Linked DNA regions of Rattus norvegicus. The main gene of each other region encodes a partner of the protein of the gene in region 3 in a complex. Links are inferred from orthologs where the notes say so. Each region holds a gene or a part of one and is shown on either strand. Other genes may lie near its edges. The genes, in order: Tmem17, B9d2, Tmem237, B9d1, Tctn1, Cep290 and Tmem216.

Evidence for each region.
Region 1: Tmem237 (region 3) and Tmem17 share a complex: the UniProt entries of both Homo sapiens proteins name them as parts of the tectonic-like complex. The link is inferred for Rattus norvegicus from reciprocal best matches to the Homo sapiens genes TMEM237 and TMEM17.
Region 2: Tmem237 (region 3) and B9d2 share a complex: the UniProt entries of both Homo sapiens proteins name them as parts of the tectonic-like complex. The link is inferred for Rattus norvegicus from reciprocal best matches to the Homo sapiens genes TMEM237 and B9D2.
Region 4: Tmem237 (region 3) and B9d1 share a complex: the UniProt entries of both Homo sapiens proteins name them as parts of the tectonic-like complex. The link is inferred for Rattus norvegicus from reciprocal best matches to the Homo sapiens genes TMEM237 and B9D1.
Region 5: Tmem237 (region 3) and Tctn1 share a complex: the UniProt entries of both Homo sapiens proteins name them as parts of the tectonic-like complex. The link is inferred for Rattus norvegicus from reciprocal best matches to the Homo sapiens genes TMEM237 and TCTN1.
Region 6: Tmem237 (region 3) and Cep290 share a complex: the UniProt entries of both Homo sapiens proteins name them as parts of the tectonic-like complex. The link is inferred for Rattus norvegicus from reciprocal best matches to the Homo sapiens genes TMEM237 and CEP290.
Region 7: Tmem237 (region 3) and Tmem216 share a complex: the UniProt entries of both Homo sapiens proteins name them as parts of the tectonic-like complex. The link is inferred for Rattus norvegicus from reciprocal best matches to the Homo sapiens genes TMEM237 and TMEM216.

The regions. Positions count from the first base shown.
Region 1 is NC_086032.1:100,718,327-100,722,471, reverse strand, and holds the start of Tmem17 (transmembrane protein 17), read right to left. Parts: upstream 2,801-4,145; 5' UTR 2,393-2,800; coding exon 2,293-2,392; intron 896-2,292; exon of another isoform or gene 821-895; intron 1-820. UniProt on the Homo sapiens protein: Transmembrane component of the tectonic-like complex, a complex localized at the transition zone of primary cilia and acting as a barrier that prevents diffusion of transmembrane proteins between the cilia and plasma membranes.
Region 2 is NC_086019.1:90,316,330-90,320,349, reverse strand, and holds the start of B9d2 (B9 domain-containing protein 2), read right to left. Parts: upstream 2,801-4,020; 5' UTR 2,564-2,800; coding exon 2,476-2,563; intron 891-2,475; exon of another isoform or gene 435-890; coding exon 309-434; exon of another isoform or gene 1-308. UniProt on the Homo sapiens protein: Component of the tectonic-like complex, a complex localized at the transition zone of primary cilia and acting as a barrier that prevents diffusion of transmembrane proteins between the cilia and plasma membranes.
Region 3 is NC_086027.1:68,042,583-68,046,082, reverse strand, and holds part of Tmem237 (transmembrane protein 237), read left to right. Parts: intron 1-1,066; coding exon 1,067-1,190; intron 1,191-1,418; coding exon 1,419-1,610; intron 1,611-2,413; coding exon of another isoform or gene 2,414-2,517; intron 2,518-2,937; coding exon 2,938-3,011; intron 3,012-3,500. UniProt on the Homo sapiens protein: Component of the transition zone in primary cilia. Required for ciliogenesis.
Region 4 is NC_086028.1:46,691,697-46,694,245, reverse strand, and holds the end of B9d1 (B9 domain-containing protein 1), read right to left. Parts: intron 1,130-2,549; coding exon of another isoform or gene 1,076-1,129; coding exon 1,008-1,075; intron 781-1,007; coding exon 638-780; 3' UTR 503-637; downstream 1-502. UniProt on the Homo sapiens protein: Component of the tectonic-like complex, a complex localized at the transition zone of primary cilia and acting as a barrier that prevents diffusion of transmembrane proteins between the cilia and plasma membranes.
Region 5 is NC_086030.1:39,969,395-39,973,393, reverse strand, and holds the start of Tctn1 (tectonic-1 precursor), read right to left. Parts: upstream 2,801-3,999; 5' UTR 2,730-2,800; coding exon 2,372-2,729; intron 1-2,371. UniProt on the Homo sapiens protein: Component of the tectonic-like complex, a complex localized at the transition zone of primary cilia and acting as a barrier that prevents diffusion of transmembrane proteins between the cilia and plasma membranes.
Region 6 is NC_086025.1:37,241,783-37,245,282, reverse strand, and holds part of Cep290 (centrosomal protein of 290 kDa), read right to left. Parts: intron 3,424-3,500; coding exon 3,312-3,423; intron 1,873-3,311; coding exon 1,667-1,872; intron 737-1,666; coding exon 585-736; intron 1-584. UniProt on the Homo sapiens protein: Involved in early and late steps in cilia formation. Its association with CCP110 is required for inhibition of primary cilia formation by CCP110.
Region 7 is NC_086019.1:216,623,720-216,627,928, forward strand, and holds the start of Tmem216 (transmembrane protein 216), read right to left. Parts: upstream 2,801-4,209; 5' UTR 2,785-2,800; coding exon 2,772-2,784; exon of another isoform or gene 2,758-2,771; intron 2,217-2,757; coding exon 2,115-2,216; intron 1,715-2,114; coding exon 1,622-1,714; intron 1-1,621. UniProt on the Homo sapiens protein: Part of the tectonic-like complex which is required for tissue-specific ciliogenesis and may regulate ciliary membrane composition.

The DNA.
Region 1 (4,145 bases), on a different chromosome or scaffold from region 3:
TTGATTATGTTCCCCCACTCCGAAAGAAATCTTGCCCCTCTAGGTATTTTCCTCTCTGAACTGCATATAAGAAGTGCTGGTTAGGGCTGGAGAGATGGTTCAGTGGTCAAGAGTGCTGCTTGCACACACACACACACACACACACACACACACACACACACGTATATACAGGGAGCAGCACTATTAGGAGGCATGGCCTTGTAGGAGGAAGTGTCACTGGAGTTGGGCGTTGAGGTTTCAGACGCTCAAGCCAGGTCCACTGTCACTCTCTCTTCCTGTTGCCTGCCAATCTGGATGTAGAATTCTCAACTACTCCTCCAGCACGTCTGCCATGCTTCCTAACATGATGATAATGGACTAAACCTCTGAATCTGTAAGCCGGCTCCCATTAAATGTTTTCCTTGGTTACGTTGTATCTTCACAGCACTAGAAAGACTAAGTAAGACAGAAGACAGAGACTCTAGGAGCCAGAGTTGGGATACATTATTACATCTTTCTGGGCATTCCCCTAATCATCTCTGGAGGGATGACTCCTCACAGGCTGTTGTGAGGAACTCCACTCTTTCCATTATGCCTATCACACTTAGTGGGCACTCCACAGACAGTGCCCTTCCTTGTATACGGAGACAATGCTGTCTCAGTGTAAGCACAGATTTCACTTAACATGTCCTGTTCAGAATCGTACAAATACCAACCATGTAGAAGCAAAAAGAACTGATTTTCAAAAGCATGCTGCCATACAGGTGGCCATTTGTGACTCACACATTCTACTTACTAGACTGGTTACCCAACATCTTTTGCTTTTGTATAAAAGAAAAGGTCCGGGGATTTAGCTCAGTGGTAGAGCGTTTGCCTAGGAAGCACAAGGCCCTGGGTTCGGTCCCCAGCTCCGAAAAAAAGAAAAAAGAGAGAGAGAGAGAAAAAAAAAGAAAACAAAAGGTCCTTCAACAAGAATTTGATTATAAAAATTGAGCCCTAAAATACATTATAATTTAACTACATTCTTATTTTAAATTGGTTGTTCTAAATGTAAGAATTTAGGAAGATAATGAGAATTTCCACTGAAACTGATTTTTGTTTTTCTCTGCATAGTTTTTTTTAATTGACGGTTAATACTTTTAAAACAATCATGGGGTAGGGGACTGGAGAGATGGCTCAGTTGTTAAGAGCACTGACTGCTCTAACCAGAGGACCTGTGTTCAATTCTCAGCAACCACATGGCAGTTCACAATTGTCTGTAACACAGGTGTACATGCAGGCACACAAGCATAAAAGCCAATGCACATAAAATAAAACAAATTAATGAAAAAAAAATCATGGTCTCTAGAAGGAAACTAAGTTTTAAGAGCAAGGCTGACTATTGTGGTCTGTTTTTCTTGCTTTGATTTCTTAAACTATCCTAAATTATCCCAAATATAGGAATGACTTTTTTTCCCCCAAGGCAGGGTTTCTTTGTATAGCCCTGGCTGTCCTGGAACTTGATCTGAAGACTAGGCTGGCCTCTGCCCACTGAGTGCTGGGAGTAAATGCATAGTCAGCCTTGCTACTATCTAGGTTGTTGAGGCTCTGCACGGTAAGGCTCGCACTTTAAATCAGAAACATAAAATCCTAATTTTTTTCAGGTTTTCCCCTACATAACCTAAATTACACAAATGACCAAGGTGACAAAATGCAATGATGAGAAGTGGCTTTGTTTTCCAATACCCCCTTTAAAAAATAAAAATAAAAAAAGCCCAAATCAAGACGGATTTCCACTTTCTTGAGTTCAAAGGTGAAAATCATGTACGCTGTCGTCCTGATTGAGGAGGCAGAAACTGGGGTCAACTCGGTGGTATTTCGTTATTAGATTGAGGGAGAGAGTTTTTTATACAGGGAGAAAGGAACAGGCAGAGGAAGGCCATGTTAGCTTGGCCGCTGCCAGTGGCTGGTGAGGAACGTGCTTGCTCTGCTAGGAGTTTGGACACAGCCCGGTTTTGTGCAGGGTGGGAGCGGGAAGCCTCTTCCCCACCCTGGCCTGCGAGCGGACTGCTTTCACGTAGCGGGGACCGGCTTGTGGGAGAAGGCGTTCCTGCTATGCACTCTGCCTCCCAATCCGCTCGGCGACAGCGCCACCGGGTGCAGTAGCTGTGGCTACTGAAGCTCGTGGTCTCCCGGGTCCGCCACAGGGTCGCGGTCTCCTAACCCAGGACAGTACCCTGGCTGAAGCCGTGGCCGCCATCTTTGACCCGGGCACGGCCTATGCGGCCGCCCGCCCGCGAACCACACCTCCGCGTGGGGCCCCTTGCCACTCACCCGCGGCCTCACTGGACTCTGGCCCGGTACGGCTGGAGTCGCCGAACATGGTGAGGCTGAGGTTGCTCAAGCGCTGACGAACAGGGTCCGGCAGCTCCATGTCTGGCCTGCCCGGGCCTATCCCCTCACGTTCCCGCTAGTGGGCCAGCTCAGCGGCGCGTGGCGGTTCCCTTGGCAACAGGGCTGTGCTGGCCGCTGGGGACCTGGTTCCTGGGCTGCCCGGCGCGGAACAGAGTCCTCCAGAGCCTTCTCCGCGGAGAGGCGAGCGGGAGCCACCGGCCCGCTGCCGAATGTGGCCTAGTGCTGCTGAAAATGGAGGGTTCCTCCGTCTTGCTTTAAAGCTGCAGCGTCTTAAGATGATCACAAGTAATAAGCCATTTGGTCCTGAGCTGAGCCACAAGGAGCTCTCACACCAAGGCAGTTTTTCCGTAAAATTGGTGCGCCATTTCTAGAGGGAAATGGAAAAGAAACATAAATCTTAAAGAATGCGCTTGACCCAGTAGGTTCCTTTCTATCGGTACATAAAATCTGGAGTAAGGCCAGGGTGGATGAGACAAGCAAACCTGCTTCAGAAGACAGGAAAATAACTCAAAAGTATTGAGAGCAGTTGTTTCTGGAATATGGGTGACTTAAAAACTAAAAACATCAGCCGTTCCCTGCTCTCCCTTAAGATGTATCATTTTAGCACTCAGGCAGAGACAGGAGATCAGGCTAGCCTGGACTACATTGCAAAATCCTTAAAACCCAGAACAAACCGTAATAGCCATATAAAGAAAAGCACAATCGGATGTACCAGCACCCAAGTCAGTCAACCGTATCAGCATCTCCAGGAGCTACGTTTTCTCAGTTGCTTATGAAGCAACTTTATAGTACACTAATCGCACACTGAAGTTTAAAAAGAAAATCTGACTTTGATGTCAACATTTGTATGAATCTTCTTTTTATTTTATGATCACACCAAGTTTGTCTATGTTGATAAGTTTCTGTGTAGTTTCTACGTAGGAGCAGTTATGACAGGTGCCACTGTTGGTGAAAATGCTTGTTGGTAAGCATATGTTTATGTTGAGTATAACATACACCTTTTTGTCAAGTGTAACATTCACGTTTATGTTGAGAGTGTGCCGGAGAAGTGCTGAGTGGAGTGGTGTGTAAGACCGATTTTATTGGGATCTACGAACACATTCCCAAAGAGGTTTCATCAGACTCTCCCACCTCCAGCTATATTTGAACGTCCCTGTTATTTCATGAGTGTGGGCTTATATTCCACCCTAACCTTTTCATCTTTCTGGTGAAGGGCGGTGGGTCTGCAGATGTCTCAGCGGTTACCAACACTCACTGCTCTTGCAGAGGACCCCGGTTCATTTCCCTTTACCCACATGGTGGCTCACGTCTGTAACTCCATCAGAAACCTCGTTCCCAAAGGGAGTGAGAAAGGATTTATTCTGAGCTAACTATGAGTCCCCAAAGCGGGAAAGATAGATTCAGGTTATCCAGGTAATCTGTTCCGCCATCAAAGTGGCAATATGAATTTGTATTACTAGAGGGTGCAAGATAGCCATAAATCAATGCGTCTACTAAATCCATTAGTGAGGACACCAGGTAGGCAGGTCACAGCAAGGCAGGGACACCTTTGCCATAGGTCTCAAATGCTGTATGAGGGTATAATAGCTTTGGGTTGGTGGATTGGTGAAAGCCACAATCGGCTAACCTAACAGATTCCAAAGGTGTTTTCTGAATGGAATGATCAGATACAGAGGCAAGTGGTAAATGGATATCAAGAGGACTGAAGAGAGCCTAAGATAATTTCGTCCTTTGATCTGTAACATTCTAACCAACAATTACAGAAGCTCGGA
Region 2 (4,020 bases), on a different chromosome or scaffold from region 3:
GTCCGTGTGTGAGCAGCGGCAACTGGCCCATTTCCTGTCCCTCGCCTTCCCATCCAGCTCTCTTCACCCTACCCGGCCTCCTCACTGCCTTCTCCTCTGCCACTTGACCCCCCTCCCCCTGCTATCTCCTCTACCCCGACCTCTGGCACATTCCACGGCCTAGGTAGGGTTTTGCATAGCTCGAGTGAAGCCTCAAATGCACCAGAAAAAGGACCCACAAAGTATGGGGAGCAGAGACGGCCAGGGTGTTCCAAGCCCAGCTCTTCCTAGTTTGACTGCCCCTTCCCTTCCTGTCATCCTGTACGTACCTTGGAGACCTTTTGTAGCAAAGTGCAGGTCAATGGGGTGGGACCAGTAAGCCATGTCCCCTGTCTGGGGTGTGTCTACCTGCGTCTGGCCTTCCCGGACGCCTGACAGGAGCTTCCATGCGGCCCCTGTAATGAGAACAGGACACAGGGTTGGGGGTGAGTAGCACCCTTCAGGAAGGAGACCTGGTTTGTTTTCCCCTGGTATTTGGGAGTGGGGAGTTACACAGTGTAAACACTAGAACCAAATATCTGGATTCAGATCTTGGCACCCGCAGTCTACACCTGAAATCTCAGCATGTGGGAGTGTGTGGAGGGCTTTCCTGGGCTGCCTGATGAGTGTGAAGTCAGCATGGGCTACAGCGTGGGTCTCAAAAGGAAAACCGGAAGGAGATGAAGAGCACCTGAGAGAGAACAGACCTGGGCGGTGATGGCACTCACATTTAGTCTTAGCCCTCAGGAGACAGAGGCAGGCAGATCTCTGTGAGTTCGAAACCAGCCTGGTCTACAGGAGTTCCCAGGGCTGCCAGGGCTACATAGAAAAACCCTGTCTCAGAAAACAAATAAAGTCTGGTACTATTCATACATGTATTGTGTATTTTGCAGTGTTCGGGATGGAACCTAGAGCACTAAATATGCAAGGGCTCTGTAGCAACAATGTACAATCCACAGCCCCAAGTCTTATCTTCTTTTATCTGTGCAACCCCTGCAGAGTTACTTTTCTCTGTTTCCCTATCTATAGAACGAGTGACAAAAAAAAAAAGTCTCACAATTTATGAGAAGATGTAGAGCAAATATGGAGTATTGATTTTTAAAATATTCATCATGTGTTAGTCCTTATGCATACTGCTGGGGATACCATCCAGACAGGAGCCTTGTGTGTTATTCGGTACGTGCTCTATGCTCTAATGAGTTATATTCTCAGCACCGGTATCCTCTCATATAGCCAAGGCTAGCCTCAAACCTCTTACGTACTGAGAATGACCTTGAACTTGTCCTGACCCTCCTGCCTACCTTCCCCAAGTGATGAGATTCCTGGCATCCTTTCCCTACTATCCCCACCACCCCCATTCAGAGGCCTAGTTCAAAAACCTCACGAGATTAGGCACCATCTGAGAGCAGCACACCATGGCCCCAGTGAGGAATAAGGGGAAAGTGCCCACCTACTGAGCGCTAAATCCCAGATGCTGTGCTAAATGCTCCAGGAAATGCCTTCATCGTATCTCCCTCGCCCAGCACATACACCAAGCTGTCAGACTCCTCACTGTCACCTCGAAAAAAAAGCCACACGTGCACTCTTGATCCAGTCAGTCATCAGCCACTACCCTTCCCCACCCTGGAGCCTCACTGGTCCTGTCCTGCTCCCTTGCCTCAGGGCCTTGGCAGTGGCTGTTCCTTTTGCCTGGAAATGTCTGCTCCTGGGTGCCCTATTTCCGGCCTTTTCCCTCCTGCCCCAATTCAAGAGCCACTTGCACAGAAAGGCTTTCTCTGACTCAGACCTCCCTATCCCAAATCAACCTCCAGTACATCACTCTGCTTCTTTTTTTCTAGCGCTTACGATAATCTTGTGAATATTTTGTGCTCTTTTCTTTGAGACAGGGTCTCTTGCCATGTAGCATAGGCTGGCACCAAACTTGTAGGGGTTTGGGGATTTAGCTCAGTGGTAGAGCGCTTGCCTAGGAAGCGCAAGGCCCTGGGTTCGGTTCCCAGCTCCGGAAAAAAAAAGAAAAAAAAAAAACTTGTAATGGAAGGCTTCCTAGGTGCTGGAATTATAGATATGCATAACCACACCTAGCTTGTCTACTGGCCTGAGGACAGGAAGTGTGTGTGTGTGTGTGTGTGTGTGTGTGTGTGTGTGTGTGTGTGTTCTATGTCACAGCCCCATATGCTTACGGGCTATGTTTTCAGATGGTGGTATAACCTGAAAGAAAAGGATATTTTTTCTTTCTTTTTTTTTTTTTTTTTTACCCCGGAGCTGGGGACTGAACCCAGGGCCTTGCGCTTTCTAGGCAAGCGCTCTACCACTGAGCTAAATCCCCAACCCCTGGATATTTTTTTTTTTTTTAAAGCAGACAGTATGGTATAAGTTCATTGGAGAGTCGTGGAAAGAACATGGAGACATAGGCTAGGGGAGGCGGGTGGGTAATAGTTGGGAATGTGGGAAGAATACCTGTGTGGATGCCCCACTTGCAGAAGAGGCTACCTTCAGAGAAACCCGTGGCCCCTATGATCTGCCCGATCACGTGCACTTCGGCCATGGCTCTAGGAAAGGAAAAATCCAATCACAGCTCTGTGAGGTAAACTTATTATTTCCTTTGGACAACTGGGAAAACTGAAGCCAATATAGCATGAAGAACAGTACTGTGATTCTAAGCTAATTCCACTAACACACTGACAATGTGGTCTTCATCACAGATACAAGCCACCTTCCCAGAAAAGCCCAAGAAAAATGGGGAAGACCCCCCACCCCCGAGAGGTGCGGGAATCTGCACCAGTAAACCAAGGCGCAGACACTTAGAAAGCCCCGCCCCAGGATGTGTGACTCCACCCATTCGCGGTAGATCAGCCACGCTTCAAAAGGCGCATGCGTCTCAGATGTAGTGCTGCTTTAGCCCTACCCCTAGGCGTAGCGCATGCGTCGCTCCTACCTCTGCGTACTTGACCGTTAGAAGCGAAAGCTGCTTCGGGGATGGTAGTTCATGGGCCTGGCCTCTTCCTCTTTGCGGCCGCCGCCGAGGCTAGTCTCGCGCCCCGCCCGGGCCCTTCCAGGCGGAGGAAGACCTGAGGTAGATAGGTCCGCAGCCTCGCTCTCCTAGGGTTCCCGGGTTGTTGCTGGGGCAACAGCAGGCTCCTCCCCTGAGCCCGCCCTGTGCGCTGATGATTGGTGCTATATTTGCCCTCTGGGGGTGGGGCGTAGTTGTGATGGACGCAGTCATTCGGTACATTTTTGGGAACTCTGCGTCGGTCTTACCCTCGCGACGCCTTACGCCTCAGAGTGGGAGGCCTGGCGGGTTATCTCCATCAGCAGTCGAGGAAGTTAGAGCGCCAACTGTTTCCTCTCCATATCTTCTTCACGCAATAAGAAAATCTATTGATAGTCTTTGCTTCCTTAAACAAAACAAAACACCTTTCCTGTTCAGGATCATAGTCAGAACGAAGCCAGATGACACCAAACGGGCACCTAAAGGAATTCACATTGTGATCATCTCTCTGTTACAGCTGAAGGGATAAAAGGATCTCCACATTCTGACACTAGAGGACTTGGGAAGTAGGTTTTCTCTTCTGTTACAGGTTTTCTCTTCAGTTTTCAGAGCTCCCTCACATTGCTGCTTGTTGCTCTTCCAGAGAACTGAAATTCTGTTCCCAGCATTCTGCACCTCCAGCTCCAGGAGTTACAGCTCCACCTCTTCCCTCCCCCTGCACATGTGGCATACACAAATAATAAAAATAAACCCTACAAAAGGAAAGGAAGAAGCCCCTTTGGCAGAGGATTGAAGGGGGTCTCTTTCCTTTTTTCTTAGATTTTTTTTGAGTTGGAGCCAATTTTAAAATTTAAAACATTTGGGCTGGAGATTTAGCTCAGTGGTAGAGCGCTTACCTAGGAAGCGCCAGGCCCTGGGTTCGATCCCCAGCTCCGGAAAAAAAAAATTTAAAACATTTTATGATGAGTATTGTGGCTTGTGAGAGACTGAGGCAGGAGGATTGCTGCAAATTT
Region 3 (3,500 bases):
TTGAACTGAGAATGCGGTCCCCATTGGAGGAGTTAGAGAAAGGATTGAAGGAGCTGAAGGGGCTTACAACCCCATAAGAATAATAATACCAACCAACCAGAGCTCCTAGGGACTAAACCGCTACCCAAAGAGTACACATGGACAGAGGATAGCCTTGTCAGGCACCAATGGGAGGAGAAGCCCTTGGTCCTGCCAAGACTGGACACCCCCCACCCCCATTGTGTAGGGGAATGTCAGGTCGGGGAGGAGGGAAGGGGTGGGTGGATGGGTGGGGGAACACCCTCATAGTAGAAGGGGGAAGAGGAATGGGATAGGGGATTTATGGATGGGAAACCAGGAAAGGGGTTACATTTGAAATGTAAATAAAAAATAGCATATATATATATGATATATATATGATATATATATTTAAAAAAAGATGAATAAATTGGGGCTAGAGAGATGGCTCAGCAGTTAAGAGTACCAACTGCTTCTGGAGGTCCTGAGTTCAATTCCCAGCAACCAAATGGTGGTTCACAACCATCTGATGGAATCTGATGCCTCTTCTGAAGAAAGAGACTGTATACTCACATACATAAAATAAATAACTAAATCTTAAAAATAAAGATGAAGAAATTACATATCTAAGTAGTCAAAGGTGAAAGAAAAGGAAAGTTACAGTCCAGTGTAATTTTTAGAATAAAAAAAATAGCAAATTCAACCCCTTCTATTTATTTATTTATTTATTTATTTATTTATTTATTTATTTAGGTTTTGAGCACATGTGCTTGTAGGTGTGAGGTAGACGAGTGACATTCGTGTGAGGTCAGGACAACTTTGTGGGGCCAGTTCCGTCCTGCTGCCTCTGTGGGTCTAGGGCCAAGCTTAGGTCAGCAGACTTGATCTGAGGCAGCACCTTTACTCCACTCTGCAGGCTCCTGGTCTGTTTTCTAAGATTTTATTTTATTCCAATCACTTACATGTGCATGCTCGTGGAGGCCAAGGCGCCAGATCCTCCTGGACCTGCAGTTCAGGCGCTTGCTTGTTAGCCTTCAGTGATTGTGTTCTGTCTGCTCCGCACTCCCAGGGAGATTTCAGGCGGCGGACCGTTCGGAGTTGATAAAGACCACAGAAAACGTAGATGTGTCAATGGACATGAAGCCATCTTGGACTACCCGCGATGTGGCACTTTCCGTGCACCGAGCTTTCAGGTGGCTGCCTTTTGTTGGTGTTCATTAAGCAAATGTTAATTGGATAGCATCGTTTAAAAGAAAAATGTTTGGCTGTTCCAACTTCGTAAACAATTTAAAATGGAATGTAGATTTATTCTTGTAGACATTCCATTTGTGCTTTTCAACTTTATTTTATTTGAGGAGGTTTTAAAAATACCTTAGCTTTTTATTTTAGTGGCTAATACATAACTAAAATCTTCTGTGCAGGATGATCGGCCTCTTCTCTCACGGCTTCTTGGCTGGCTGTGCTGTGTGGAATATTGTTGTGATCTGTGTTCTCGCGGGAGACCAGTTCTCTAATGTCTCCAACCTTCTGCAGCAGTACAAGCCCTTGGCATATCCCTTCCAGAGCCTTCTTTACTTGCTTTTGGCTCTAAGTACAGTTTCAGCATTTGACAGGTAAGGCTGTTGTGAATGCGGGCTCTTCTAACCTTCCTTCAGGAAGAAATAGTAAGCAATATATGTCACTATGGCTTTTCAAGGTTGAATGACCCTTTTTTAAACCAGTCTTTGGATTAGTATGGCCTTGTCTTCATTTCACTGTATTCATAGAGATCTTGTTTCCAAATGAAGTCACTTTCTTAAGGACTAAGGTTAGACCTTCACCACTTATTTTGGAGAACACAGGTCAACCCATTTTTAAAAATATCAGCAGGGCTGGAGAGATGGCTCGGTGGGTAAAGATGCCTGCTGCTAAACCTGCTGTCCTAAGTTTGCTACCCAAGAGCCACGCTGTGGAAGGAGACAACCAACTCCTACCTTCACATAGCTCCTGTGTGTGTGAGTGCATGGGCGTGTACCCACCTGCCCATACAAACTAAATAAAATCACACCCCCCTCAAAAAAACCCAAACAAACCCTGCCTATTGTCATGACTGGCCTGTTTTTGTGATAAAACACTATGCAAAAACAGTTTTGGGAGAAACAGGTTTGTTTTACCACATATTGTATGGTCCCCTGTCAGGGGAACACACAGCTAGAACTCACCAAGGCCAGAACCTGGAGTTGTGAACAGAGACCTGGTACTGGTTTCTTCTCCATGGCTTGCTCAGCCTTCTTTTTATACAACCCAGTACACCTGCCCAGCGACGGGCCTGCCCCAGCGATGGTGTCGCCCAGAGTGAGCCGGGCCCTCCCACAGTCTTGATTTGTTCCTTGGTTGTTTTTTTTTGTTTGTTTGTTTTATTTTGTTTTTGAGACAGGATTTCTCTGAGTAGCCTGGGCTTCCTGGACTCCCTCTGTACACTAGGCTGGCCCCAAACTGACAGACCCACCCGCCTCTGCTTTCCGAGGACTTGGATTAAAGGTGTGCACCACCCCGGCCCTGAGCACATCAAGAAAATGCCCCGATAGACTTGCTTACAGCCCAGTCCTATGGAGTCATTTTCTTAGTGGAGGTTCCCTCAGCTTCCCAGATGACTCTAGGTAAAGACCAGTTGATAAAAACTAGGCAGCACTGTAGTCCAATAGTTTACCGGGAAGAGGAGGAAGCTAATGATTTTTGCCAATCAAGGTTAAACTGTTTCCTCATGTGTCTTAATACTCATCTTCGTGTTAGATAGACTTTGTAAATCAGGTAGATACTTTCTTTGTTGAAGTTCAGACGTTAACTAGAGACTGGCAAGGGACAGACGTGGTGGCGGTAGAATAGAGAAGGGGACCCAGCAAGGGAAGATACTGTTGTGTTTCAGCTGCACAGTGACACAAAGTCTTCATCTCGTTCTAGGATCGACTTTGCTAAAACCTCAGTAGCAATCCGGAACTTTTTGGCCCTGGAGCCAACAGCTTTAGCCTCTTTCTGTAAGTAATAGTTACCTTAATAACTATGTTATAATTGAGGAGAAGAAAAATATTGTACAATTTATACTTTAAAATGTGGTAGGAGTAATTTTTTTTTTTCGGAGCTGAGGACCGAACCCAGGGCCTTGCACTTGCTAGGCAAGTGCTCTACCACTGAGCTAAATCCCCAACCCAGGAGTAATTTTTAAGAACTGTTTTTTGTTTTTGTTTTTGAGGCAGGATCTGTTACATAGCTCAGGTTGGCCTTGAACTTTCTGTGTGGTTGAGGATAGCTTTGAACTTCTCATTCTGTTTGCTTTCCCTTAAGTGCTGGGATTTGCAAGCATCCTCTGCTGTGCCTGGCTTACAAGTGTTTCTCATTTGAAGATCATCTAAGAGGTCCTGGGTTTAATGCCCCACACCAAAAATAATAAGTAAAGTTAAACTTGCTGGCCTTCATTACTTACTTAGCTTCTGTGTTTCCCCTTGGCAGACTCAGATGGCCTGGCA
Region 4 (2,549 bases), on a different chromosome or scaffold from region 3:
CCACAGCAAGCTTTGGTGAGACCAGCAGTTGTGGAGTAGTTTGACAACATGTTAATTCATGTGTCACACTACCAGCATGCGTGGAGAAAACTAGGGGCCCACAGATGTCAGGGTGTTGGGCTACGGCGCTTGCCCGGAACCCGCACTGGTGGTAGTCTCCTGCCTGGGATGGTTCTTTCCCTATCCTCAGGCAGCACACGAAGATCAGGATGGAAGTAGGGCACAGGAATGCATGGTGGAAGGCAGGTGCCGCTCAGGGCCCTGGGAGTCTGCTAACAATACGGTAAATAGTCACAGTGCCAGCCATGGAGCAAGTGACTAACTTCCTGATGCTGAAGAAGACACTGAAAGGGGGGGTCAGCTCTGTGCAAACTGCTCAGCAGTCCTGGAGAGGCCTCCACTCCAGCATGACATTCTACTGGGTACATCCTGTTGGGCGCCAGGCCTGTTTCTGTTAGAGAGGTGCTAATGAAGAAATCAAGAAATGCAGGCCCCAGAATCTCTGAAAAAAAAGTGACACTTTATTATATAAAACTATCTTTATCTCCCCCACTTCTCAGCCAGGTTGGTATGTCCTTGGTTGTGTGTGGGCTGTAAGGTATTTGGTCCACAGTGGTGGAGAGAAAAGCTGACATTTTTATTGTGGGTTTCCCTGTGGCAGGCTGGGACTCAGGACTCCTTGTGTGTCCACAGGCCCAGTATCATAGCCCAGCTTCTTCATGTCCTTGGTCACCACATTGAAGAGGAGGGTAACAAATCCCTGAGAGCGAACACGGGTCACTGGGGACAGAAGCTGAGCATTAGCTGGGTTTGACTGGGACAGACAGAAACCACCTGCTGAAGCCCTTGTGTAGGTAGGTGGTGGTCTAGAAAGTTCTTTGGGTGTCTTGTATATCACTAGGTCCCAGTTGTCTGGAAGCTCCTTGACTTTCACACATGTGTTTTCTGGGCTCCTAGGGATTGGGGACCCATCTCAACCCTTAAGTTACCTGAAGCATCAGTCTTACCTTCCCGACCTTCACCCTGGGCCACCACCTTGGGGTCAGTGTACTCTGGCCGACGTCCCATGAACCAGCTGAGAACAGGAAAACACCAGTGAGGAGCACTTGGGACTTGCTGGCTTCAGACACTGAACAAGAGTGTTCCAGGCTTAAGAGGTTGTAGCATTTCTCCTGCAACCCCTCCTCTAGGTGCCAGGGCAACCTCCTACCTATTTGATAGGCCAAGCGGGGTGCCAGGAGATGTCCCCTGTTAGGGGTCCATTGCCAACAATTCTAATAGTGCCAGGTGCTCCAAGGGGTGTCTAGCCTGCCTGGCCAAGTCTTTTGTGGTTTTAAGCCAAGGGTGAATGTTGAGAGAGATGCAGGGCCAATAGTACAACCAGGAGAGAAAGCCTAACCCCAAGAAGGGCCAGATCCAGCTTCCTAAGCTTTGTCTCCTTATGTGGGATCCAGGACAAGCCACACCCCACCACTGAACCTGTTTATCTAGTATAGGGTAATAATAGCACCTACCTCATGAGACTGTGAAGTGAAGGCACCCTATCACCTGCTGTATGAAACATTACCCATTCTAGGGAGGATCTGGCCCTGGAAGCCTGTGGATAGCGACAGGTCATCTGACTTTTAAAAGTCTCACCTAGCCAAGGGTACCATTCAGCCCCCAGGCCCTGGCTGGCAAACTCAGAAGCACTTCCTACAAATGTCTTGTAATTCACAATCCTATTGCACCCAAACTTCAGATCCTGGGCCCCACCCACAGCTCTATGATATATGGATACAGACCCTGCATTTTGTATAGGCTTGGAGCATACAGAATTAGCCCAAGCACAGCAGCTAGGACTAACTCAGGCTTTGTGGAACAACTCCAGCATTCCTGTTTGCCTGAAGAGGTAGGACTTCGTCTTCTACCTGGACAGTTTGCAGCAGGCATTCTTGTAACCATGACTACACACCCACAACCTACAGCTATGCTGAGGTTATGGCTAGATCTCTGGACTTCTAGGCTAGACATCACAGTCCTATTAAACTGCTGGGTAGGAGTTCCTGAGGGGGCCGTAGGAGAAGAGTTCAGACAACCTAAGTAGAGAAGCCAGGATTCCTACAGCTAAGCATTCTAGAAACTAGATGAGTGGGTGTCTCTCTTCTGTTTCCCAACATAAAAGTTCTAACTGCACTCAGTACTATGAGGAGTCTCAGAGCAATCCTGGCATGTAGGCACCCTGGCCATATTTCCAGTTCTCTTCTACAGTCATGGTTACCAGAAAGCCTGCTCCAAACTACCCAGAAAGTAGACAAAGTCCTACCTCCTCAGGCAAACCGGAATGCTGGTGGAGTTGTTCCACAAAGTTCTCTCTACATTTAAGTGAAAAAAATCTTTTTCCATTTGAGAAGAGACAGAACAATGTTCCAGGCAAGGGCTGAAGCAGAGCAGAACCTCGTGGGCTCAAAAATCCAAGGGCTGATAAAAGGGAAGCAAACAAGGGAGGCCACTGCCATCCTGGTTCAAGAGACTCCCAAATGCAGAGGGTAAGCCACAGTGCTTCCAGC
Region 5 (3,999 bases), on a different chromosome or scaffold from region 3:
AAGAAATAACAGGCGCTGGAGAGATAGCTCAGTGGTTAAGAGCACTGACTGCTCTTCCAGAGGTCCTGAGTTCAAATCCCAACAACCACATGGTGGCTCACAACCATCTGTAGTGGGATCTGACGCCCTCTTCTGGTATGTCTGAAGACAGCTACGGTGTACTCACATACATTAAATGACTAAATAAATAAATCTATGAAAAAGAGAAATCCATTTGTTACTCTGGTTCCAGAGGATCTCATGCCCTCTTCTGGTCTCTGCAGGTACCTACCAGGCACATATATGGCATCATTCAGGTATCTACAGAGGCAAAACACCCCTTATAAATCTCAAAAACCAGAACATACAACAACGAGGACGACCAGTACCAGAGCCTGGAAGTAAACTGAATGCATGGCTCTGACTGCCGTGAGGGGGAGGAAGTAATAAATTTGGGGCTTTGATAATCTTGGTTGTTTTGCTCTTTGTTTTCTGAAACAGAGGCTCATTTGGATCGGATCTCCTAACCTCCCACCTCTCAGCAGAAGATGAAGGATCACAGTTGTGACCCACCACGGTTCTCCCTTTCCCCAGCTAAAATGTCACTGAATCTTTGGGGGTTTTTTTGTTTTGTTTTGTTTTTTTGGTTTTTTTGTTTGTTTGTTTGTTTGTTTGTTTTGTTTTTTTGAGATGGATTCTCTGTGTAGCCTTGGCTGTCCTGAAACTTACTTTGGAGGTCAGGCTGGCTTGAACTCAGAGATCCACCTGCCTCTGTACCACCCACCTTACCCCAGGATAAAGGTGTGTACAACCACCACCACCACCACCTGACTTGATTTTCTTTTTAAGAATTATTTATTTTGGGGTTGGGGATTTGGCTCAGTGGCAGAGCGCTTGCCTAGGAAGTGCAAGGCCGTGGGTTAGGTCCCCAGCTCCGAAAAAAAAGAACCAAAAAAAAAAAAAAAAGAATTATTTATTTTGTTTATATGAGTACACTGCAGCTGTCTTTAGACACACCAGAAGAGGGCATCAGATCCCATTATAGATGGTTGTGAGCCACCCTGTGGTTGCTGGGAATTGAATCAAGACCTCTGGAAGAGCAGTCAGTGTTCTTAACCACTGAGCCATCTCTCCAGCTCCCTGATTCTTAACTGTAATGTTTTGTTTCCTAGGGGGAGTGGGAGAGGCAACAATCTCAGGCTTAAAGAACTTTAGCTAATAGGACATCATGGCATTGTTTCTATGAATGAATGATTTAAAAAAAAAATAAAAACAACCTCTAGAGATGGGAGGCATGATGGGAGGCATGATGGGAGGCCCACACCTGGGAATCTCAGCAACAGGGAAGCAGTCAGGATAGTCAGAAAGGTATCAGGTTATATATAGGCCAGTCTGGGTCACTTAGCAAAACTGTCAGGAACAAAGTTAAGAAAAAAGGAGAAAGCAGGAGACTAGAATATTTCTACAGGAGGCTGGAGAGATAGCTCAGGAGTTTTTAAAAAAGCACATATTGCTTCTGTCCCCAGCACCCAAGTCAGGCAGCTTACAAACCAACTCCAGCTCCCGGGGCTCTGAGGCCCTTTTATGTTCTCCAAGGTCACCAATATATATCCAGCCACCCAAGTGCTCACCTATACAAATATACACACATAATTAAATATGTGTGTATGTGTGTGTGTGTTATATATTTATATATATATATATATATATTTTTTTTTTTTTAAGAAAAATTCTCCCCCAAAATGGTATAATGTGCTTTGGAAAGACACAAAAGGAAAAGGAAGTTTATTGATAAATGCAAAATGTTTCTTAGTCCGAAAGGCAAATGTGCTCCTTCTAGATGAGGTCCTCTCTAGCCATGGACAACTGGGCATGCTCGCTAAAATAACGCCACAATCCCTTAACTGGCACGGAAAGCAGAAAGAGAGCAATTAGGCCCACTGCCTCATGTGTTTAAAATTACAACCACGAATTATTGGAAAAGCTTCAGAAGGTAAGAAGATGAGGGTAAAGCTGGCATGTTTAATAACTCCACTGAGCTCTCAAGTCATCTAAACAGCATTCGTATGCTCACGTCCGTGTGTCTGCATGGAAAGGACTAAGATCTACTTAGCACCCTTTCTTCTACCAGTACTGCCTACAACTCATTCTGAAGGTTTCTATCTAGAACTCCACTCCAGAGTCACTTTCTGCATCAACACTCCAGCTGTTTGAAATTATGTGGGAAAGGGAGTAACTTAGCTCCGCTCTCCGCGTTTGTGTGCTGGAGATCCCGTCTCCCTCTCAGGGAACGACAGGGAGGCTGAGAAAGGTGGAACTTTGAGAAGGGTTATCATTTTCCGTACGTTCTTACTGGTCTACTCGCTCCAGGGAGTTAGCACTTTGTACCCACCGTCCGTGACCGGGGTGGGCCTGGGGCCAGAGAGCTCCGGTGGCCTGGGAGTTCCCGGGGTCCTAGGAGACCAGGAGGGTCTGAGAGTGGCGGGGGTGGCCTCGGTGAAGTTGAGATCCTCATTCGTCACCACCGGGGTGGCCTCGGTGAAGTTGAGATCCTCATTCGTCACCACCGGGGTGGCCTCGGTGAAGTTGAGATCCTCATTCGTCACCACCGGGGTGGCCTCGGTGAAGTTGAGATCCTCATTCGTCACCACCGGGGTGGCCGCAGCCGGGGTGGCAACGACCTGGGTGCTCGAAGAGGTGCAGCAGTTTAGGAGCACCAGCAGGAGCGGCGGAAGACACCGCGACCCCATGGACTAGCATACTATCCCGCGCCAGAGAGCTAGGCCTGTCTGTTGCCGGGCAACAGTCACAGCCGAGCGCTAGGCACCACGGGAAAGGGCTCGCGAGGCCACGCTAGTCTGCGGAGAAAGGTGGGGCCTGAAGCCAGACCAGCGGGGATTGGGTTAAGGCCCGCCGATCACGAAAGGGGCGGGAACTGGGCAGGGCTATGGGCGGGACCTGATTGGCGTCGGAGGGGCGGGGCCGGGACCGTGGGGGCGGGGTCTGAGACTGCTCTTTCTAAGGAGCCCTCTGAAAACCGGAATCTGTAAACTAATGTGTCATGGTTAGAAGTGCATGTTTAGAGGCGACTGGAGTCCTTTAAGACATATTGCCACCATCCTTGAATTTCTTACCCCATGTTACTTACTGACTTTACTTTCTTTGCCTTTAGATACAACGCAGGAGGTCGCCAGACCACTTCTATCCACGTATTTATGATAAGAGAAACAAAAGAATTCTTAACTTTTTGGTTCTTTTAGACAGGATCTCTCTGTGTCCGCCTGACTAATCTCGAACTCAAGGAAGTCCTATATCAGTGCCTCATGCAGACATGCACCACGGAATCCAACCTCCATTTCTGCTGTTATGTCATTCGGAATGTTCTCGTGTGTTCGTTGGTTGGTTGGGGAAGATGGGGGAGGAGTTTGAGACAGAGTTTCTATAGCCCTGGCTGTCCGAGATCGCACTCTGTGGACCAGGCTTCCTTGAACTCAGAGAACCGCCTGCTTCTGCCTCCCAAGTCTGTCTGTCTTCCTTCCTTTCTTTCTTTAGGTTTATTTGTGTATTTTTTGTATATGGGTGTTATGTCCGTATGCACACCAGAAGAGGGCATCACATCTCATGAGACTACAGTCATAGACAGTCATGAGCTGCCGTATGGGTGCTGGGAATTGAACCCAGGACCTCTGAAAGAGCAGCCAGAACTCTTAACCCTCCAACCCCTCCTCAAGTCTTACAGTCCCATGCTTCGAACCATTCTGCGAAAAGTTCAGTTCTCAAAGTCGTCTTATCTAATCTCAAGCCCTGATGGCCCCAATGTAAAAGTCAAGGTGTAGACTGCATCTGCTCATACGTTTTTGGAATCCTTAGGGACCCTGGGGACTCATTTGTTAGGTTTTTTTTTTTTTCCCCATCATAGGTCAATGAGTCCATCTAGGGGCTAGAGAGATGACTCAGCCATTAGGCACACTTGCTGCTTGCAGAGGACCAGGGTTCAGTTCTCGGCACTGAATATATAAA
Region 6 (3,500 bases), on a different chromosome or scaffold from region 3:
ACTCAAAGCTCCTTATGATCCCACTAGAACAGCACCTGACCAGATAAAGAGTGATAGTGTCTACCTGGCGCATATAGTTAGTGTTCTAAAGTAGCTGGGCAGTTTCTACTGTCAAATGAAAGGCAATTTTCCAAGTGTTAGAAAGCAAGAATTCATGAATTAATATGTCTGATGTCTTACACGATGCCTACCACATAGCTAGCTCTGAAGAAAATTAAAGTAAATCTAAATATAAATTAATTATATGTTTACACCAACCTTATAAAAAGGTAAAATTCCTTTCTTTTAAAAGTGAATAAATGAAATACTAAGTGACTCTTACATCTCTACTTCCCCCCAAACAGGCAATGAGTAAGACATAGGCCCTACGTGGTTTCTGTTTTAACTTTAGGCCTTCTACAGTTGCATCCTTACATTCTGAAAAAAAAAAGCAAACTGTGAGATGTAATTTCCTCTTCAATGTTATATCATCTGGTTAAAAAACAACCAAATAAAAATATTAATCCTCTTTTTTAAAAATATGAGTATAGGTACTGCTCCATATATTTGTAATTGAACTTAAAGACAAAGGAAATAGCACTTACTTAGACACTTCCACTTTGAGCTCCACTTCACGCTTCTCCAGTTCTAGAATCCGCTGTCTATCGGCGTCGCTCACTGCCTTGTTCACACTATCAGCTAATTCATCTCTCAGCATCTGCTCCACCTTCTGTGCATCCAGGTTGATTTTGGTAAGCTATGGGAAAAGCCACAACAATAAAACAGTCCCCAGGACTATGTGATTGTATTCATTCTATTTACCTTATGCTGGGAATAGAACCCAGGGCACGCACTAACTTAAGTCAATGAACTACATACAGCTCCAGTCTGGAGACATAACTTCTACTCTCTTGAGTACTACAGTCTTCTTTACTTTCCCTTAGCCCAGAAACAGGTATAAAGTGATAAGAACAAACTAAAGAAAGAATCAAGAACAAATTAAAAAATGTAGTTAATAGTCTAATTCTATCATAAATTATTTATGTTGGCAATCAATACATAAGAATTTTTGAAATATAAGCAAAGTACTTAAGAATAAACCCAAGTGAGCCAACAAAATTTTAAATTTTATAAAATATATAAATTTTTACTAACATTAAATGTCTTAAAAGAAAAAAATGATACTTACGCTTTTGAAATCTATCTTAACCTAAGCATCTGCAAGGTGTCACTCAATCATAGGCTGTTGAGTATCTGCAGACTACTTAATTCAGAGCACACTAAGTATCTATAATAACCTGCTGTTAAAGTTTTTGAAAACACAGATTTTTAACTATTTTGCCTCTTACTATATAATTTCAGTTCCCAAACAGATGCTGGAGTGAAAAAGAGAATGAATACTTTTTAAACAAGAGATAGTATTGGAAGACAACTTGCTTTTAAAGAAATGACATCCTTCTGTTCACTAAAAACAATACCATGACATTGGCAAGAAAGAATGTGTTTACAGAAACAAGTGCTTCAGTGTAAAGTACTGAGATTTCGAAAGAATAGTCTATATATCCATTATATAAAGTGCAAATGCTGTATGCATATGCTAGCTTAGAGACACAAAGTTCCTAGCAATAATCCAGTGTCTACTATTGAATTCTTACTGCCTATTTACATCAAAAAAATCGTATCAAACCTCAGTGAACTTGGTTTCCAATTCAAAGTTTCGTTCTTCCATGTGCTTCAATGAAGTTCTTAGGTGCTCATACATTTTCTGACAGTGTTCAGCCCTCTGCCTTTCATTTAATTCTTTCATCTCCAACACAGTGATTTTTTTTGAAATAGAAACAATGTCACTATTTGTCATTGATTTCTTTGCCTTATCCATGTTTGATTCATTTCCTACGTGGAATAATACAACACACAAAAGACAATTAAGGAGAGGTGTAAAAAAAAAAAAAAAAAGCACAGTTGTATGAACTTTTGAATTAAGACATATCTGTATTCCATTTATTTATTCCTATCTTTCTGATCCTTATTCATGTATTCTTTCTAGAATAAAGATCTCCATTTATCAAATGACAATAAAAAATGCAATTTACTGAAATGGCCATGTGTAGGTCAATGTAGAGCTGTCACAGGTTGGAGCATGTTGACAAGCAGTAAAGAACACTTGCTGTGGAAGTAATGTTAACTGCACTGGGACAATACAGGACAGCAGTGTGACTTTAGACATATAGGTGCAATATTTTTAAAGTCAACAGTAAAATATTAAGTGATATGATTAAGAAACTCTACAAGATAATCTCAAATAATAAGCATTATTTTGGGCATTATAAGCATGCAGTATCAAATACTATCATATTACAATTTTATATTCAATAATATGGCAAGTCAGATAAAGATGAAGATCTCTGCAGCACTTTAAATAATGGCAAAATTAAAAACTAATGCTTTAATCATAATCACTCAAACAATATAATATTGCATAAATTTCTATGAGAAAAATGATTAAAATATGGAAATAATTGGAATTTCTACTAAATTGGTATAGTATATAACAAGTAATATTTATTATTTAAAATACATAAAAATAAAAACATCCATAAAAGAATTATGATGATATACTGCTACAAATATAAGCAATATAAATCCCCAAATTTTCTTTGATATTTTAAAAGGTATCAAATAATACACAACACATAAACTTTGTATTCAGAAAAAAACATGTATTTCAAGAATACCATTATAATAATTCAAAATAATCTTCATGTGGGTGCTCTAACAATTGGAACCAGGTCTGTCTCTGACTCAGCTGCCTGCCACTGGATCCCCTTCCTTGAGCTGGACTGCCTGGTCTGGCCTCAGTGGGAGAGGATGCCCTTAGTCCTGCTGTGACTTGATGTCCCAGGGCAGGGTAGTACCCAAGTGATACTCAAGGGGAGGAGGCAATGAGGGAGGGATTTGTGAGGGTGGACTGGACGAACAGGGAGGGGGCTGAAATCAGGAAGCAAAGTGAATAAATATATTAATGAAAAATAAAGACAGAAATAGCTAGTGTTGAATCATAAATTAATAACATATGATTTTAACAGGAAAAAAAAAATCTCATGTGAGAACTATAAAGCAAACACCCAGAATAGTATTCTTCCTCTGTGTACTAAACTAAGGTATGGGATACAGTTCATCTTTTTAAATCAAACTATATCCATATATTCTGCTACAGAAAAGAATTTTTCAGTAAACAAGAAAAAAGAAAAAAAAAGAAAAAAGAAAAGAAAAAAGAAAAAAACGACTGTTATTTATCTCTCACCCGGTATTCCCGGAGTAATAAGACTTACCTAACTTCGTTTCTTGTTCCCAGGCTTGTTCGATGGTATGGAGCTTTTCCTTTGTGATCTCCAGCTCTTTACTGAGCCCCTCCATCTGTTCTTTCAGCGATGCATTTTCACACTGAACGAACAGAAGACAGACATTACAGAAGGCTACATGGCAATGAGGTGAGAGTCACAGAGGCGACACTGCTTTGC
Region 7 (4,209 bases), on a different chromosome or scaffold from region 3:
CCTGTTTCAAAAAAGAAAAAAGACAAAAAAAGCAACATATGAGCCAGGCATAGAAGTACACATTTATAATCCCAGCATGCACGAGGCTAAGGTCAGAATTGAGAATTCAAGTTCATCCTGGTCTCCTTGCTTCAAAACACCAAAACCAAACTGCGTATCTGTGTGTATACACATGTATGTTTATATCCACATGTATACACATAATTTATAAACAAAGTAAAATATGTATAGCTATAATATACATGTGTGTATGTAAATGTATATGTACGTTAAAACTTCAATTCATATGGAAAATAATTTAAGTGCATTAAAAATGTCTGTTCTTTAGGGCTACAGAGAAGGAGCACTGGGTGGTCAAGAGCACTTGCTGATTTCCTGAGGACCAGGTTTACTCAATGGCAGCTCAGCACTCTGTAACTTCAGTTCCAGAGGATCTGACGCCTCTCTCTCTCTCTCTCTCTCTCTCTCTCTCTCTCTCTCTCTCTCTATCTCTCTCTCTCTCTCTCTCTCTCTCTCTAAATAACTTTTAATTCTTACTTGTGCTTGTATGTGCCCACAAAGCCCAGAAGACAACATTGGATCCTCTGGAATTGGAATTAGACAGTTGTAAGTTATCTAATGTGAATGCTGGGAACTAAACTGGGGTCCTCCTGCAAAAGCAGGAGGTTTAAAAGTCCTTTTAAACCTCTGAGCCATCTCTAGCCCAAGACCTTCTTCTGACCTCTGTGGGTACCAGACATACACGTACTATACAGGCATACATACAGGCAAAGTATCCATAGACATAAAACAATGTTTTAATTAAAAAATATGTATTCTAAAAGCCAAATATGGATTCTGTACTGTATAAATCTTTCTTACTATTGCCAATATATAAAAGAAAAAAATGTTACCATGTTTTTCTTTGCTTTTTTTTCCCTTGTTTTTGTTGCTTTTCTTTACTAAGTTTGATCACATTGGCAGGTTTTTTTGTTTGTTTGTTTGTTTGTTTGTTTGTTTGTTTTGAGCTAGGATCTCCTTATACATCCCTGTCTGGTCTGGAACTCACTATGTCTAGGAACACATAGCCATCCTCTTGCCTCTGTCAGTGGGTACTGGGATTAAAGGCATGTGCCACCATGCTCACCTTAGCAAGGTTTTTGGTCTTCTATATGTGAACTGACTCTTAGTGTCCCTTACCATTTTTCTCCCTTGGGTTTGTATCTTAACACTGGGATGATATGTTCTAAGTAATCAGCAGTTTTGCTCTGTGTCTCTGGTGTTTAAAAGCTTCTAGAGGAATCCTTGTTTAGAGAAGTGGAGGGAACCTTAGAGTTCTTTAGGAATGTACTGCTTTACTCTCTCAAACAAAGCAAGGAGAAGAAGCAGGCACTCTTGTAGTAGTCAGGCAACTGGAAAGGAATGAGCTAAGATCAAATGCTACTGCCAGTTCTAGCCTCACTTAGAAACACACAGGTAAATCTTGACCTAAAATACAAAGCAGCAGCTTGAAGCCTTAGGGAGGAAGCAATCAATGGTATACATTACACAGACCCAATCTCTGATAGTGAGCCTAGGTTATCAAGTTTCAGGCTCCAGCATGTCTCATAAGCAATGGAAATATTTTCTGAACAACACTCACCAAAAAACAATCGTATTACTTCAATGCCAAGATAAAGGAGCAGCATCACCACATCTAGGACTAGGTTGGCTGTTGGGTATGGCAGCAGGAGACCTACAAGTGTAAAAGCCAGAGTATGTAAACAGCCCCCACATCCCCACAAGGCTGCCACACATCCAGGGACAAGGATACTAGTCTTAACTTCTCATGAATCAGTTAGCAAGGTATAGATTGTTACAGCCACAGGCTTTAAGTCTAGAAGTCCTGACTCCCAAATGACTGAATTATAACGGTACACAGATCTGAATATTTCAGTAAAGAGGGATGGGGAAGCCCACATTTCTCAAGTTCAAGACTTGCTGAAAGACTTCCTACTTGATCATTCCAAAGCCACTAGTTGGAGAGACTTCTGCCTTGCAGTGGAGATGCTGCAGGGGCCAGAAGATAGAAGGTTCTTGGAGTAGGCTAAAGTAGAAAAGGGCTGCTGAAGCAGGCCAGTTAGGCCCAGCCTTACCTTTGTACAGGAAAATAAGGAGCTCCAGCAGGAAATAGGTAGCATAGTACCACCCATTCAGAAAGAACAGGATTTCCAGAGGGGTTGAGGACAATCTTTTATCTGGGAAAAAAAAAAAAAAAAAAAAAAAGCAACACAAAGAATGGACAGGGCAGCTGGAGCTCTGCCCCGTTCTGTGTAATGATTCTGTGTAATCTGTAGAAAACACAAGGTTATTGTGAATGAGGGAGAAACTTCTGGTTGCTAAGAGTGTTGATGTGAAGGGAACTGCCTTCAACCTCCTTTCCCAGGAATCACTTTAAGGTCGACTTCTCTGACAATTAAGCTATAATCACAGCCGAGAGGCACCTCAGATATTCAACCCTGTCACTACTGAAGAGGACATTGGAGCACAGAAATTTGCTTAATTCTGTCCAAGGCCGGAGGATTCGTAACTGGGCCATCCCAGAGCAGGGCCAGCCTGGAATTTTTAAGAGTACAGTATCCGAGTATCCATGCAGCCACTCGGGGTGGTCTGAGCAACCCAAGCCCAATTCGGACAAGTGAAGAGTAAGACCCCAACTTTTAGAAATGGAGGATTAGGTAGAGCTCTGGAGAGGGGCCTGGCAGGTACCAGTGGGATATAAGGGGCAGAGACACACACCTCCAGAGTCTCACCTCGCGGCGCCATGTTCAGTCCCCATGGAAACTGCGTACGCTGCAGCGCCCGGGGCAATGCAGCGCTGCCGGAAGCGCGGCACAGAGGCGCCCGGGTTTTCTGGCCGCTCTGCCTGCGAGTGCTACTCTATGGTTACCCCACCGGCCGCGCCCTTGCACGGAGCAACGCCCGCGGTCAACAGCGGACTGTGGTCTAGGGAGAGGATAAGGTTATATACGAAGGCAGAAAGAGCCCAGGAGACCCAAACAGCTCTCGAACTGAACTCTCCACCCCTGGCGTCATGGTGTTGGGCTTCATTGGCCGGGTGCGGCCGAATACTTGGAGGAGCGGCCCCAGGCCCACCATTCTCTTTCTACTGCCATGTGTTAGTTTAGAAAAAAAAAAAAAAGCAGCACGGCATGCCACTGTGCACAAGGCTTACCTAGGGCCCATTGACGCAACAAAATCCTGTGGAAACACCAAAACCACTGGAGGTAGAATGACCTTTCTAGGACATGTGGTAAACAGCGGTGCTATAACGTGGCTCTCCTGCCACCCAAAAAGTGCAAAGGTGTTGAAGGGAGACAGTTTATGCCCAGGTAGAAATTGAGAGATGTTTCCAACAAGCTTGAGTTAAGAATCCTGGCCGCAATTCGAAGCAAGAGCGTGTTGTTGCAGGCCGCAGAGTAAAAGAGTAAGACTTCTGAAAAGACATGGGTTGACTCTGCAGTCAGCCCTTAGAGTATGGCAGTCAGACAACAAATAACTGGAGAGAGTAACTAACCTGTAATGAAAGTGTTATTTCCCTACCTAGTGAATAAAAGCAGTAATTGTTGCTTCTCAAAGACCTAAAGCAGCTGGAGAGATGGCTCAGCGGTTAAGAGCACTGCCTGCTCTTCCAGAGGTCCTGAATTCAATTCCCAACAACCACATGGTGGCTCCCAACCATCTGTAATGGGATCTGATGCCCTCTTCTGGTGTGTCTGAAGACAGCTACAGTGTACTCAAATTTAAAAAAAAAAAAAAAAAAAAGACCTAAAGCAATTCCTCACCTGGAGAGAATAATTTAAGCAGAAGCCTATTTCTATCACTCCCCACCTCCACCTCTGCTTTCCTGCCTCCTTCACTGGCTTATTCTGGTCTGGTTTAGTTTGACTAGACAGATCTCCCTATGTAGGCTAGGCAGGCCTCAAATTCTCCTGCCTCTGCTTCCCGTCCAGTCCTGGAGTTTCAAGTGGGTGTCACAACGCTCTGGCAGGTCCTAAATGGAATTTTAATCCCCACTATCAAGAACCAGGGCAAGATGAGGTGATGGAAAGAACCCTGGTTCCTGCACCCCAACTGTGCTACCTTTACACACCTCCTGCTCTGAACCTCAGAGCAAAGGAAGGTGGACCAGTTGCTTGTTTTTTTTAAATTATGGGTCTTAAATCACCCTGCCTACACATATTGTGTACA